Sus scrofa: one gene and its partners. The protein of the gene in region 2 purifies or fractionates together with the protein of the main gene of each other region. This does not show direct contact. Links are inferred from orthologs where the notes say so. Each region holds a gene or a part of one and is shown on either strand. Other genes may lie near its edges.

Region 1 (3,646 bases), on a different chromosome or scaffold from region 2:
CAGCGTCCTATGTACAGTTCACCAGACTAGAGGAGACGGTGGCTCGGCGCCCAGGGACCCCAGGCAGGGCCAGTCCACCTCCACGGAGCAACGGCCCTACAAAGGCCCTTTGAACTGGTTCCCGGACAGGTGCTGCCGGATGGAGGGCTTGGAGCTGGCGGCATCCCCCAGTTTTCTCCAGACCACCTGTGGGGAGGGGCAAGCTGGGAATGGAGGGTCCACCCTGCACCCGCCCAGGGTGTCCCCAGAGCCAGGGGCCAGGAGGGGACACTGAGGCCACATGACACCTGGAGACCCTCAGACCGGGTCTTTGCACGTGCGCCCTCCGCACCGTGCCTCCCACCCCAAGGCGACTGAGCTGGCACCTCGAGGGTGCAGACTTGGGCCCGAAGCTGTCCAGTGGGCCCTACAGACCCAGGAGGCAGCAGCGGGGGGATACCCCGCCCCAGGGGGCAGCCCCGTGAACCACCTCCCCTGCTGACTCCCACAAGGGTCCCACGAGGCAAGGCGCACTGGCCAGGTGGGTCCCAGATCCAGGCGCCACCTCCCCAGAGACCCAGAGGCAGCCCAGCTGCCAAAGGCCAAGGCAGCCACGGCCAGGAGGGTCCCGCAGAGCTGAGGGTTCCGCCTGCACCGCAGTCTGGGCACCACCTGTGTGCCAGGAGCCAGCAGAGCACAGGGGACAGGGACCAAGGGTCAGGATACACAGGGCAAACAAGACCAGGGAGCAGGGAGGAAAGGGGGGAGGGGAAGTGGGGGAGGGGAGGAGCGAGGCCCGGGCTCCCAGCCCCCCGGGTCACCTCCCAGGGGGGTTGTGGCCACACTGGGACTCGCCCGGTCACCCCGGCCCCGGCCCCAGGAGGCGCCTCACGTTGCACATCTCGCGGACAATGGCCTTCTCCTTCTCGCTCAGGTCCTCCTCGCAGCTGTCCTGGAGCTGCCGGTCCAGGTTCTCATGTACCTCCAGGACCTGCAGGGGGCGGCCCCAGGGTCAGGGGCAGAGGTCACAGGCAGGCCTCGGGCAAGGCCCCAGCTTCCCCCACCACAAGGGGCAGTGGTGGACGCCTAGCCGCGGGGCCCTGGGATCGGGGGCTGGAGAGGCCTGAGGGCCCGGTTGTCCTGTCGCCTCGGCCCAGTGACACCGTAGACACCACGCAAGGGAAGCGGCGGCCCACATTGGCACTGGGGGCAGAGCAGGTGGACAGGCGGGGTGGGGACCGCTGTTGCACTCCAAACCCGGGACCCCACTTGGGACTCAGGACAGGCTGGCACATGCACATGGGGGGGGGGTGTCCAGTTGCCACCTGCCAGGCACAGCGAGCGGGCTGCCTGCGGGGAACCACGTGCCTGTGTCCCTGCTAGGGGGGTAGGGATGGGGGCACCTCAGTGGACAGGCCCCAGGGTGCACCCCAAGGCCCTGAGCAGGAGGGGGGCAGGGAGAGCTGGGCCTGGGAGACCCGAGCTTCCATCCCGGCCATCCTGCCCCACCCCCACTCCAGGAGCACCTGTCCTCCCCACCTGCCCCAGGCCTCAGCTCCCTGGCTGCAGGGGTGACGCAGCCACCACCCCGCCTCCCAACCCCCACCCCACACTCCAGGCAGCCACGGCCACTGGACCAAAGTCCCCCAGCTGCCTGCAGAGAGGGCAAGCGGGGTCCTAGGTCACAGGGTCCTGAAGTGCCAGGGACCTGGGGGCCCCGGAGGGAGCGGGAACCGGGCAGGGCCTGGCCCTCACCTTCATCGCGTGCACCACAGCCTCGGGCTTCTGTCCTGCGGCGCTGTAGCCGGCGGAGGGCGGCGAGGACAGCTCGGGAACAGGGCAGGCGGGGCCCTGTGGGCAGAACCATGTCTTAGCTCACCCTGGCTGGCTCCCAGGTGGCAGCCACAGGTGCGACCAGCAGCTGGGAGGGATCCTTGGGTCCGTGGGGCCGGGGCCCAGGCCAGAGACCATGGGGGCCGAGGGGCAGCACCCCATCCCGCAGGCTCCTCTGCACAGCCTGGCACACGTGGAAGGTCTCTCACCTGCTTGGAAGGTCTGTCACCTCCTCTGCAGCTCACCTAGGATGATACAGACGGCCTGGGCCTGACTCCTAAGCCCCCTCCCCGTCCCCTAGGCTCCACCCCGGGCATTCCTGGGGCTTCCGGCCCTGAGCCTCCCTGTCTGGGGACTGCTGCCTCATCCTGCAGTCTAACTGGCAACTAGGTGCCCGGCTCCCACATCAGCCTGGGGGCCAGGAGACGGGGGCCGGGAGAGGAAGGGATCCAGCTTCCTGGCTCCCTGCCACCTGTGTCAGAGGCCAAGTGTCCACCCAGCTCCTCCCCAAGGGGCACTGGCCCAGGTGGCCACAGGGCAGGAGGCAGGGCTTTCGGCTGGGGCTGCAGCGGAACCGGCCCCTGAGCAAGGTCAAGAAGGGACCAAGGCCACATGAAAGAGCTCACGCCTGAGGAGCTAGATGGAGCCCCGGGGCCAGCAGGACGCGAGATGCCAGGAGTGGCCTGAGGGCAACCAGCCGGTGGTGCTGGAAGCGGAGAGAAAACACCAGGAGCGGCCCAGGGGGTACATGAGCAGGGGGAGCATCCTTGGGCCCCTTTGCAGCCCTGAGTCTCAGTTTCCTTCTCAGTCAGTGGGCCCTGAAGGCCCCTCCAGTGATCAGGCCAATGAGGCCACTGCCCTGGGAGCCTGCCCAGCTGGGCCACCCTGCACAGGGACCCTCGGTGCCTGGCATCTTTTGCTGCCAGCGGCCAACCTCTGCACTCTTCTCACCAGCCAGGGTGCCCTGGCCCTGCTCCTGGGCCCTCGCAGGCTCAGCCTGCTCTGGCTCCACACAGAGGCCTGCAGCCCTGGGGTCCGGGAGAGCTGGCTTGGGCAAGGCTCTGGGGGCAGGCCCGGTCCACTCCGCCCCTCAGGTCCCTGTGTCCCGGGTGTGCACAGAGACCTGGGCTGCTGTCTTCCTGACTCTGGCCCAGGCCACCTGATCTCTGGTGCCCAGGCCGGTGTGTCATGTCGGGGAACCAAACTGGGTTCTGGGGGGTCAGGCCACATACAGGTGTGCGCCCTATGGCAGAAGGCTGCCCTCCCCGCACAGGCCAGCAGGGGGCGACATCCACACACACAGAGCCCAGGAAGGCGGCTGGCCCAGGCACCTCTGGCCTCAGGTCCTGTCTGCACCCGGCGCTCCCAGCACCGCCTGCTCTGTAAGGAGGGCTGATTCCTGCAGCAAAGGCAGGCAGGAACTGCACGTGGCCGGGGTAGATGGTGCAACCGTTTGCTGGCCGGCCTCACTGGGTGGACGGAGCAAATGAGCGTGGTCTCAGGACCCTATAAGGGAAGCCACCACTGGACACTGGCCAAGACTGTACCCTTAGGGCCTTTTCCAAACCCAGCTCAGCCCTGCAGGCATCCCGTGGTGGGGGTGGCAGAGCACAGCCTGCAAAGCACCCGCCAGGAGAAGAGCGGCCTAAGGGGGCAGGTTACGACCCTAGGCGCGGACGCCATCTCTCTATGGGCCCATTTTACAGATGAGGACGGGGACACTGCGCAACTCGCCCAAGGCCAACCAGCTAGTAAAGAAGGGCGCTGGGAGTTCCCGTCGTGGCACAGTGGTTTACGAATCCGACTAGGAACCATGAGGTTATGGGTTCGATCC
Region 2 (3,646 bases):
TGATTATCTGTTCTGATTACTAGGATATGTTCTTTTTTACAGCACAGGCTAACATCCTTTGCTCTATTGTATTTAAAGTATCCTTTGCATGATTGTATTCACAAGTGCAGGCCCAGAAATTGCACAGAAAAATAACGCACAAATGTACAGTGTGTGTTAATGAAATGGAAACAACACTTAAATTTTTTCGTAGATAAATCTGGGGCCCTTGAGATCCCTGTGGCCCTCTGAAAAACACTGATGGGGAGGGGAGATTCTGAGCATTTCCTATCTTAGGTGTTAAAACAAGGAATTCTTAGAACTAACCTAGTAACCTGATATCACTTAAAATCTTCTGTATGAATGCAAATTCATTTATGAGGCTGGAGAAGAGAAGACAAGATGGAAGGCAAAAAAAAAGCTGGCCTCGGAGTTCCCGGCGTGGCGCAGTGGTTAACGAATCCGACTAGGAACCATGAAGTTGTGGATTCGATCCCTGGCCTTGCTCAGTGGGTTAACTATCCGGCCTTGCCATGAGCTGCGTGTGGTGTAGGTTGCAGACGCGGCTTGGTTCCCATGTTGCTGTGGCTCTGGCGTAGGCCAGTGGCTACAGCTCCGATTCAACCCCTAGCCTGGGAACCTCCACATGCCACAGGAGCGGCCCTAGAAAAGGCAAAAAGACAAAAAAAAAAACAAACAGAGAACTTTCAAAAAACAAAACAAAAAAAAAAAGCTGGCCTGGTGGGCAGGGGCTATAGGTGAACATGGCCGATTTGTGTGGCTTAGAGACAGAACTGAGACCTCAAGCCATGCCCACAAGGAGTCCGATTTTAGTAGGCAATAAAAAGACCTTTCTAACAATTTATACACTGAGAAGATGACCCCTTGATCATGATACTGTAAAGAAATCTTGGTATAGAAAATGCAGCTAAATAATCTCTTGAAATCCGAAGATTTTAAGTTCCTATTAGACATTAAAATCATATTCTTTTTAAGTATACTGAAAATAAATAAAGCCCAGCCAGAAAGCTAGTTAAACTGTTTTTTGCCTCTTTTTGTTTGTTTGCTTGTTTTTGGTCTTTTTTAGGGCCACACCCACGGCATATGGAGGTTTCCAGGCTAGGGGTCCAATTGGAGCTGCATCTGCCAGCCTCCACCACAGCCACAGCAACACCAGATCTGAGCCAAGTCCGCAACCTACACCACAGCTCACAGCAACACTGGATCCCCAACCCACTGAGTAAGGCCAGGGATCAAACCGACAACCTCACGGTTCCTAGTCGGATTTGTTTCCGCTGTGCCATGACTGGAACTCCCGCCTCTGTCTTTAAAATGTATCTTTGCAGATATTTTTAATTTTTATGTTAAATCTTATTTTTACTTCACTTGACTAAACTGAGATTTCTCCCCTACAGTGAGAGGGTCCAAACCTGGTAAGAATGTCCAGCTACAAGAGAATGAAATCAGAGGACTGTGCTTAAAGTCCCGAGAGATCTTTCTCAGTCAGCCTATCCTACTCGAACTTGAAGCACCACTCAAAATATGTGGTAAGTTTTGGCACACTAACAGTTACCTTTGATTACGTGATTGACCGACTGAGTCAGTGATATATGTATGACCTTGTATTAGCGAACAGAATCATTTAGCATATATGAATAATCTGGAACTACCTAAAATTAAGTAATTGTAGCTTTAGAATAAATACCTCTGATCTTAGATGGGTTTCAGATTTTCTGAAAATTATTTCACTCAAGGAATGTAAACATTTCAGGAGAAAGGAAAGAAATGAAACAGAATGGAGAGTTAAGAAGAGGCCCTAACTATATGAGTGTATAGGAATTATATTTAAGCTTAAAGAAACTCTGGTTATGCCTAAAAATAGACCTTCCTTGATGCCTTTTTGTAGTTCTGTTTCTACATGAAAGATGTGGATAATCTGTATAAAAACTAAGCTCTATCTGAAAAGTGCTATAGTTATTCTTTTAGCATGTTTGACTACATTAATAAAGTTTGTATGCAGATTTTTTTAAAGTACAATGCTCTTTGCCATTATCTCCAGGGAGAAGTTGAAAGCCAAATGCATTGGTAGGTGTAGTGGGTGTGTACTTTGTTTACACAGGACCAGGGCTCTCAAGAAATGCAGCTGTGCTGCTGTTACAATGCTGGGAGACTGAACCGTTGGAGATCTGATAATGATCAGCCAACCTGAAAGGAAAACCATGTTACTTGGCAAGAAGGTCTCCCTAGGCATTAATAATTCTTTCCACAAAATAAATTCTTAATTAGTTCTGTGTGAGATTCGGTATATATACATACACTTAAAATTTTAATTAAGCTCAATTGAACTAAATAGTATAGAAGATTGGAAATTAATTAGTTTAGTGGTTTGAACTATATGTATGAAGATACTATAACAAAAATTCTTCCTTCTAGGTGATATCCATGGGCAATACTATGATTTGCTTCGACTTTTTGAATACGGTGGTTTCCCGCCAGAAAGCAATTACCTGTTTCTTGGGGACTATGTGGACAGGGGAAAACAGTCATTGGAAACTATCTGCCTTTTATTGGCTTACAAAATCAAATATCCCGAGAATTTTTTTCTTCTCAGAGGAAACCACGAATGTGCCAGCATCAATAGAATTTATGGATTTTATGATGAATGTAAGTACTTTCTGTATCTAAGAAAAAGTTACTTAAATTGAGATACTTGGGCATAAACTGAACATCCTCCTCCTCTGGTGGAGGATTTTTTGGTGCTGCTGCTGGTTAAATAACTATATAAAATGCTTAATTTTTTTTTTTTTTTTTAATCCTTACCTCTACCTTTTTGTATTCATTATTTTCGGCAGAAGAAGGTTTAGGCTGCAAAGAGAGGAGTAGTTAAGGAATTTGATTACTGGCACTTGCCAATATAATTATAACAAGACCAGTAAAGCACTGTCACTGTGGCCTCCCCTAGACTATGTGATCATAACCTATAGTCGCTCAGGGTGTGATGTTTTTCCATCTCAGTTTCACGTAGATGTATTCAGCTAGCTTGTTTGTTAGAAGTACACTGCTGGAAAGGTTACATTCATAGACTTAGCCCTCTTGCTCCCAACCATGGTTGTATATTTGTTTGATCTCTGGCCCCAAGACCCAGCTTATAAAATGAAGTGGGAGGAATTACCAAGGAGAAGAAATCTGTGGGTTCTGACAGAATTCAGCAACTAAGTTAGGAAAGAGAGATTTGATATTGACAGTGAGTCTATCAGAGAAGTATTCTTAAGGCAGTTAGTTACTACTCTTTAGGTAGTGAAATGAGAGGCAGAAAAGTTTTATAATATTGTGTTTTGGACACTTGTATAGTGCTGCTTTTCAGAACAGGTTAAGAAGTGGTTCCTTTTACACAGCTGTTAGTGAAAACTTTCATGTTTTCATCAAAGTTATTCAGACCCAGTGATCTCTTTGTTGTGACATAGATCCTAGTGTGAGGGTATTGGCTACATCATTTTTGGTTTCTGTTTAATGTAGAGGCCTTAATGATGCAGAAGGTCAGCATTGATTGGTGTCAATTTTGGCTCTTGTCCTCAAGACTGATATAATGACCTTGTACTCCAGCTTTCCCCTCTCTCATCAGGCAAGTATAATTTGCCACTCAGTCTGTTTGGGCCTAGAAGTGTCC
Region 3 (3,746 bases), on a different chromosome or scaffold from region 2:
CAGGGGAGCATCCACAGGGTTTTACTCTGGTGAGGCCAGAAGCAAGTGCACTTTAAACTCTTGGCCCCAAGGCCCTTCATTACCGCCCTTCATTACAGCCTGGCCTCTGCCCATCTCTCCAGCCTCATCACACGCTCTGTCACAACACCTGGCCTCATCTAAGGAGCCACATCCCCTTCTCCAACACCAAGCCCATGTCCAATTCCTTCTTCAGCTTTCTCACGACTTTCATTTCTGTATTTATGCTGTTTAACCCATCTTTAGGTGCATGCACAAGGGCAGAAACTGTACTATTTTTATAGCCCCCAGCGCTTTTCCTGGTGCCGTCACTCATAAGCCAGCAGCTAACAACCTGTCTCTGAGGTGAGTGGCTAAAATCCTGAGCCACAGTCCAGGTCTGAACTGGGATACTGTCTCCCCATCTCCATGGGCTGTGCACACACCTCTGGCCTCCTGCCTGGTCTCTATCAGGGGTAAGTCAAAGGCCTTAGAAGGAGAAGTGAACAGGCCTCCTGGGCTGCAGTGAGGAAGTCTTGGCTTACCAGAGAGGCTGAGATCCTTCTGCAGGGCTCTCAGGCCCTCCCGGTTCCGATTCCTTTTGGTGTCCAGGTCCACAATCTGAAAAGCACAGGGGCATGAGGGAACTCAGACACCTCTTACCCGGGCCTGTACTCCCAACAGACCAGAGCTGTTAAAACCGAACAGAAACAAAACCAGGGCATCCCTGCTAGGTTAATTCCAATGCCCTGCTGTGTGAAGGTATTCCTTCCCCCACTTAGCTGCCAGCTCCTTCAAGACAATGCTTTGTGCAGGTGTCTTCCCAGGAAAAATGTTTCAGGACCAAACAATTTGTTTTTTTATTATCCACTGGAGCACCAGTTCTTAAACTTTAGGGCATTTCAGAATCACCAGGGGAGTGAAAACCACTCCCTGGACAAGCTCCTCCAGCTGATTCTCACCTAGTACCACAAGAAACCCAGCAATATTACACCAGAACAGCAGAGTGGGGGCACTGAGATGGGGATAACAGCACAATAGCTACCAAGGAAGTGAGGAGGTGGTACAGTACACTGCCTGAAGGAGCTGAATACTCAGGTTTGATTCATGCTGCCCACTCTAAGCTGTGTTATTTCACTTCTCTGAAAAATGGAGATAGGAACAGTACACACCTCATCGGTTATGAATCCAGGAACTAAGTAGGTCAGCACAGTACTTGACCCACAGTAAGGACCCAATAAACTTTAAACTGCTATTTACCATCCAGCATACCTTGAGGCAGTGTTTGACAGGCTCTTCCCCAAGTCTTCCCATTCTCACTACCTGAGGGAGCAACCATTCAATCTTTCTAACTGGAGATGAAGAGTCATGAATCTTTCTTGATTTCTCCCACTCCCTCACCCCTATACCTAACGATCATGGAAGCCTAAGTCCATCTCCAAAATATATTTCTGACCCAACACCACCACCTTGGCTCAAAGCCATCCCTCACCCCACCCATGGCAATGGCCCCTCATATTCTCTTCTCTACAGAGTGCCTGGCCCCTCATATTCTCTTCTCTACAGAGCAGCCAAAGGGATCTTTCAAACCCTAAATCCATTACATCACTCTCCTTCTCCCCATGAACTCTTTTCAAAGCCTCTGCATCTTTATTAGTACCAAACCCAGACTCCCAGTGCAGGTTTGCATGGCCTTCCAAGGCCAGGGCCCCACACTCCTCCCACATCCCCATCCCTGCGTGATCCCAAGACCACTCAGGCCTCTTTTCTGTTTCTCTTCTCCACTCAGAGTGTGAACTGGGGCGGTGCAGCCCAGCTCAGGGAGGGAGCCCAGGAACCGCATTTTGAAAGAGGGGTTCAGATCAATCAAATGCCCAAAGGGGTGAGTAGATCGGGATCGGGAAGGTAGGGCAAGGGAGCAGAGAAAGGATGGAAGAGACGGAATGCCTGGCACAGAGAGGCCCCCGTGTAATACATGCAGAATGAAGCGCGGCGCTTCATTTAACCCACATAATCTCACAGCCGCCCAGCCTGTCGTCACGGCCATTGGCCTAAAAGCCTAGGTCACCTCCTGGAGAGCCTGAGCTGGAGCGATTCCGCACCTTGCGCTTCACTAGGCGCTCGCCACCAGGCCCCAACCTCCGAACCCGGGTCCCAGCCTCGCGGATCAGCCTCCTACCTGCCGTTTGTCCGCCAGAACCTCTTCGGCGAGCTCCTCCACCTCCACCAGGTACCGCAGCACCCGCTCCGCTTCGGGTGACAGCATAGTGCGCTCCAGCCCCGACTCTGCTCTGCCGCGACTCTAACAAGCTCCGCCACAGCTCGCTTCTTGCTTTGCCTGCGCACGCGCAGCTCTGACGGGGCTTCCGGCGCGCACGCGCAATTGAAAGAAGAACGGTGGCGCGCAGGCTCCAACGAAAGCGCGTTAGCGGAACGCGAGAGGCGGGGTCTAGCTTTGGAGGCAGGGTTAGAGCGCCCCCTGCAGGCCAAGGGAACATAGTCGGCTATGCTGCTGCTCTTTTTTTTTTTTTACTTCATTAAAAAATTTTTTTTAGATTATAGTTGACTTACAGTGTTGTGCCAGTTTCTGCTGTATACGCTATGATGCCTCCTAACCACTCCCTCCCTTCGTATAATTCTTGAGCATCTACTCTGTGCCAAGGAGTTATAGGTACTGAGGAGGCAACTGTGAGCAAAACAAAGGCCCTGCCCTCATGAAGCTTCATCCTAGTGGGAAACATGGACAATTAATGACAAAACAAATAATTATATAATATGGCAGGCAGTGATAAGGCTTCAGAGAAATCAAATAATTCTTCCTCTGCTTGAGGAATACGGAAGAGGCCCATGTGACATTGTGGTTTGGGGCGGGGGGTTTGGCGGAACTCACGGCATGCAGAAGTCACCCAGGCTTGGGCTCAAACCCACACCATAGCTGTGACACAAGACAAAGCAGTGACAACGCCAGATCCTTAACCCACTGTGCCATCAAGGAACTCTGACAGTGTGACATCTTCACTTTCCAATTTATAAAATGGAGTGAATAAAAATCCCCCTTATTGTCTTTCTTCAGGACTAGAAGGAGGCAGGAATCTTTTTACTTTTTAAAATTTAATTTAAATTTTTTGAGGGGGTCTTTTTAGGGCTGCAGCCACAGCATATAGAGGTTCCCAGGCTTGGGGTCAAATCCAGAGCTGTACCAGCTGGCCTACACCAGAGCCACAGCAACACCAGATCCGAGCCGATGTCTGCGACCTATACCACAGCCTCATGGCAATGCCAGATCCTTAACCCACTGAGTGAGGCCAGGGGTCGAACCTGCATCCTCATGAATACTAGTCAGATTCGTTTCTGCTAAGCCACAATGGGAACTTCAGGAATCTTTTTAAATTGAGTTTGATTCCCACATTCACTGAGCCCTTGTATTGGGCCCAGTGTCTGCAATAGCTGACCTACACCCAAGGAAGGGGTTAGAAAACCATGGGCCGTGAGCGATTAAGTGCCAGCTCAGAAAAGAAGTTGTGTAAGTGCTGGAAAGTGAACCCGTGTGGGCCGTGGGATCTGGGAGGACCTCCAAGAAGAGGGGGGCAGGTGGAAAGTGGCTACCCTTCAGAACCAGAGGGTTCCCTAGAAATCTTCATGCCCAAACCCCTCACTGCATGGCTGGAAAAATCAAGGATCGGAGAGCGGCGAGGACTTTAAAAGGTCAACAGCAGACCTGATACTATAATTCTGACCTCCTTTCTCCC

The links.
Region 1: the proteins of PPP1CC (region 2) and CCDC85C purify together in Homo sapiens (affinity purification with mass spectrometry; 5 studies listed by BioGRID and IntAct, counting the BioPlex papers as one, with this or other methods). This does not show direct contact. The link is inferred for Sus scrofa from reciprocal best matches to the Homo sapiens genes PPP1CC and CCDC85C.
Region 3: the proteins of PPP1CC (region 2) and PDRG1 purify together in Homo sapiens (affinity purification with mass spectrometry; 6 studies listed by BioGRID and IntAct, counting the BioPlex papers as one, with this or other methods). This does not show direct contact. The link is inferred for Sus scrofa from reciprocal best matches to the Homo sapiens genes PPP1CC and PDRG1.

Annotation. Positions count from the first base shown.
Region 1 is NC_010449.5:120,517,280-120,520,925, forward strand, and holds part of CCDC85C (coiled-coil domain-containing protein 85C), read right to left. Parts: intron 1,831-3,646; coding exon 1,735-1,830; intron 971-1,734; coding exon 872-970; intron 187-871; coding exon 97-186; 3' UTR 1-96. UniProt on the Homo sapiens protein: May play a role in cell-cell adhesion and epithelium development through its interaction with proteins of the beta-catenin family. May play an important role in cortical development, especially in the maintenance of radial glia.
Region 2 is NC_010456.5:32,077,735-32,081,380, reverse strand, and holds part of PPP1CC (serine/threonine-protein phosphatase PP1-gamma catalytic subunit), read left to right. Parts: intron 1-1,394; coding exon 1,395-1,526; intron 1,527-2,412; coding exon 2,413-2,643; intron 2,644-3,646. UniProt on the Homo sapiens protein: Protein phosphatase that associates with over 200 regulatory proteins to form highly specific holoenzymes which dephosphorylate hundreds of biological targets.
Region 3 is NC_010459.5:35,613,714-35,617,459, forward strand, and holds the start of PDRG1 (p53 and DNA damage-regulated protein 1), read right to left. Parts: upstream 2,355-3,746; 5' UTR 2,264-2,354; coding exon 2,177-2,263; intron 619-2,176; coding exon 543-618; intron 1-542. UniProt on the Homo sapiens protein: May play a role in chaperone-mediated protein folding.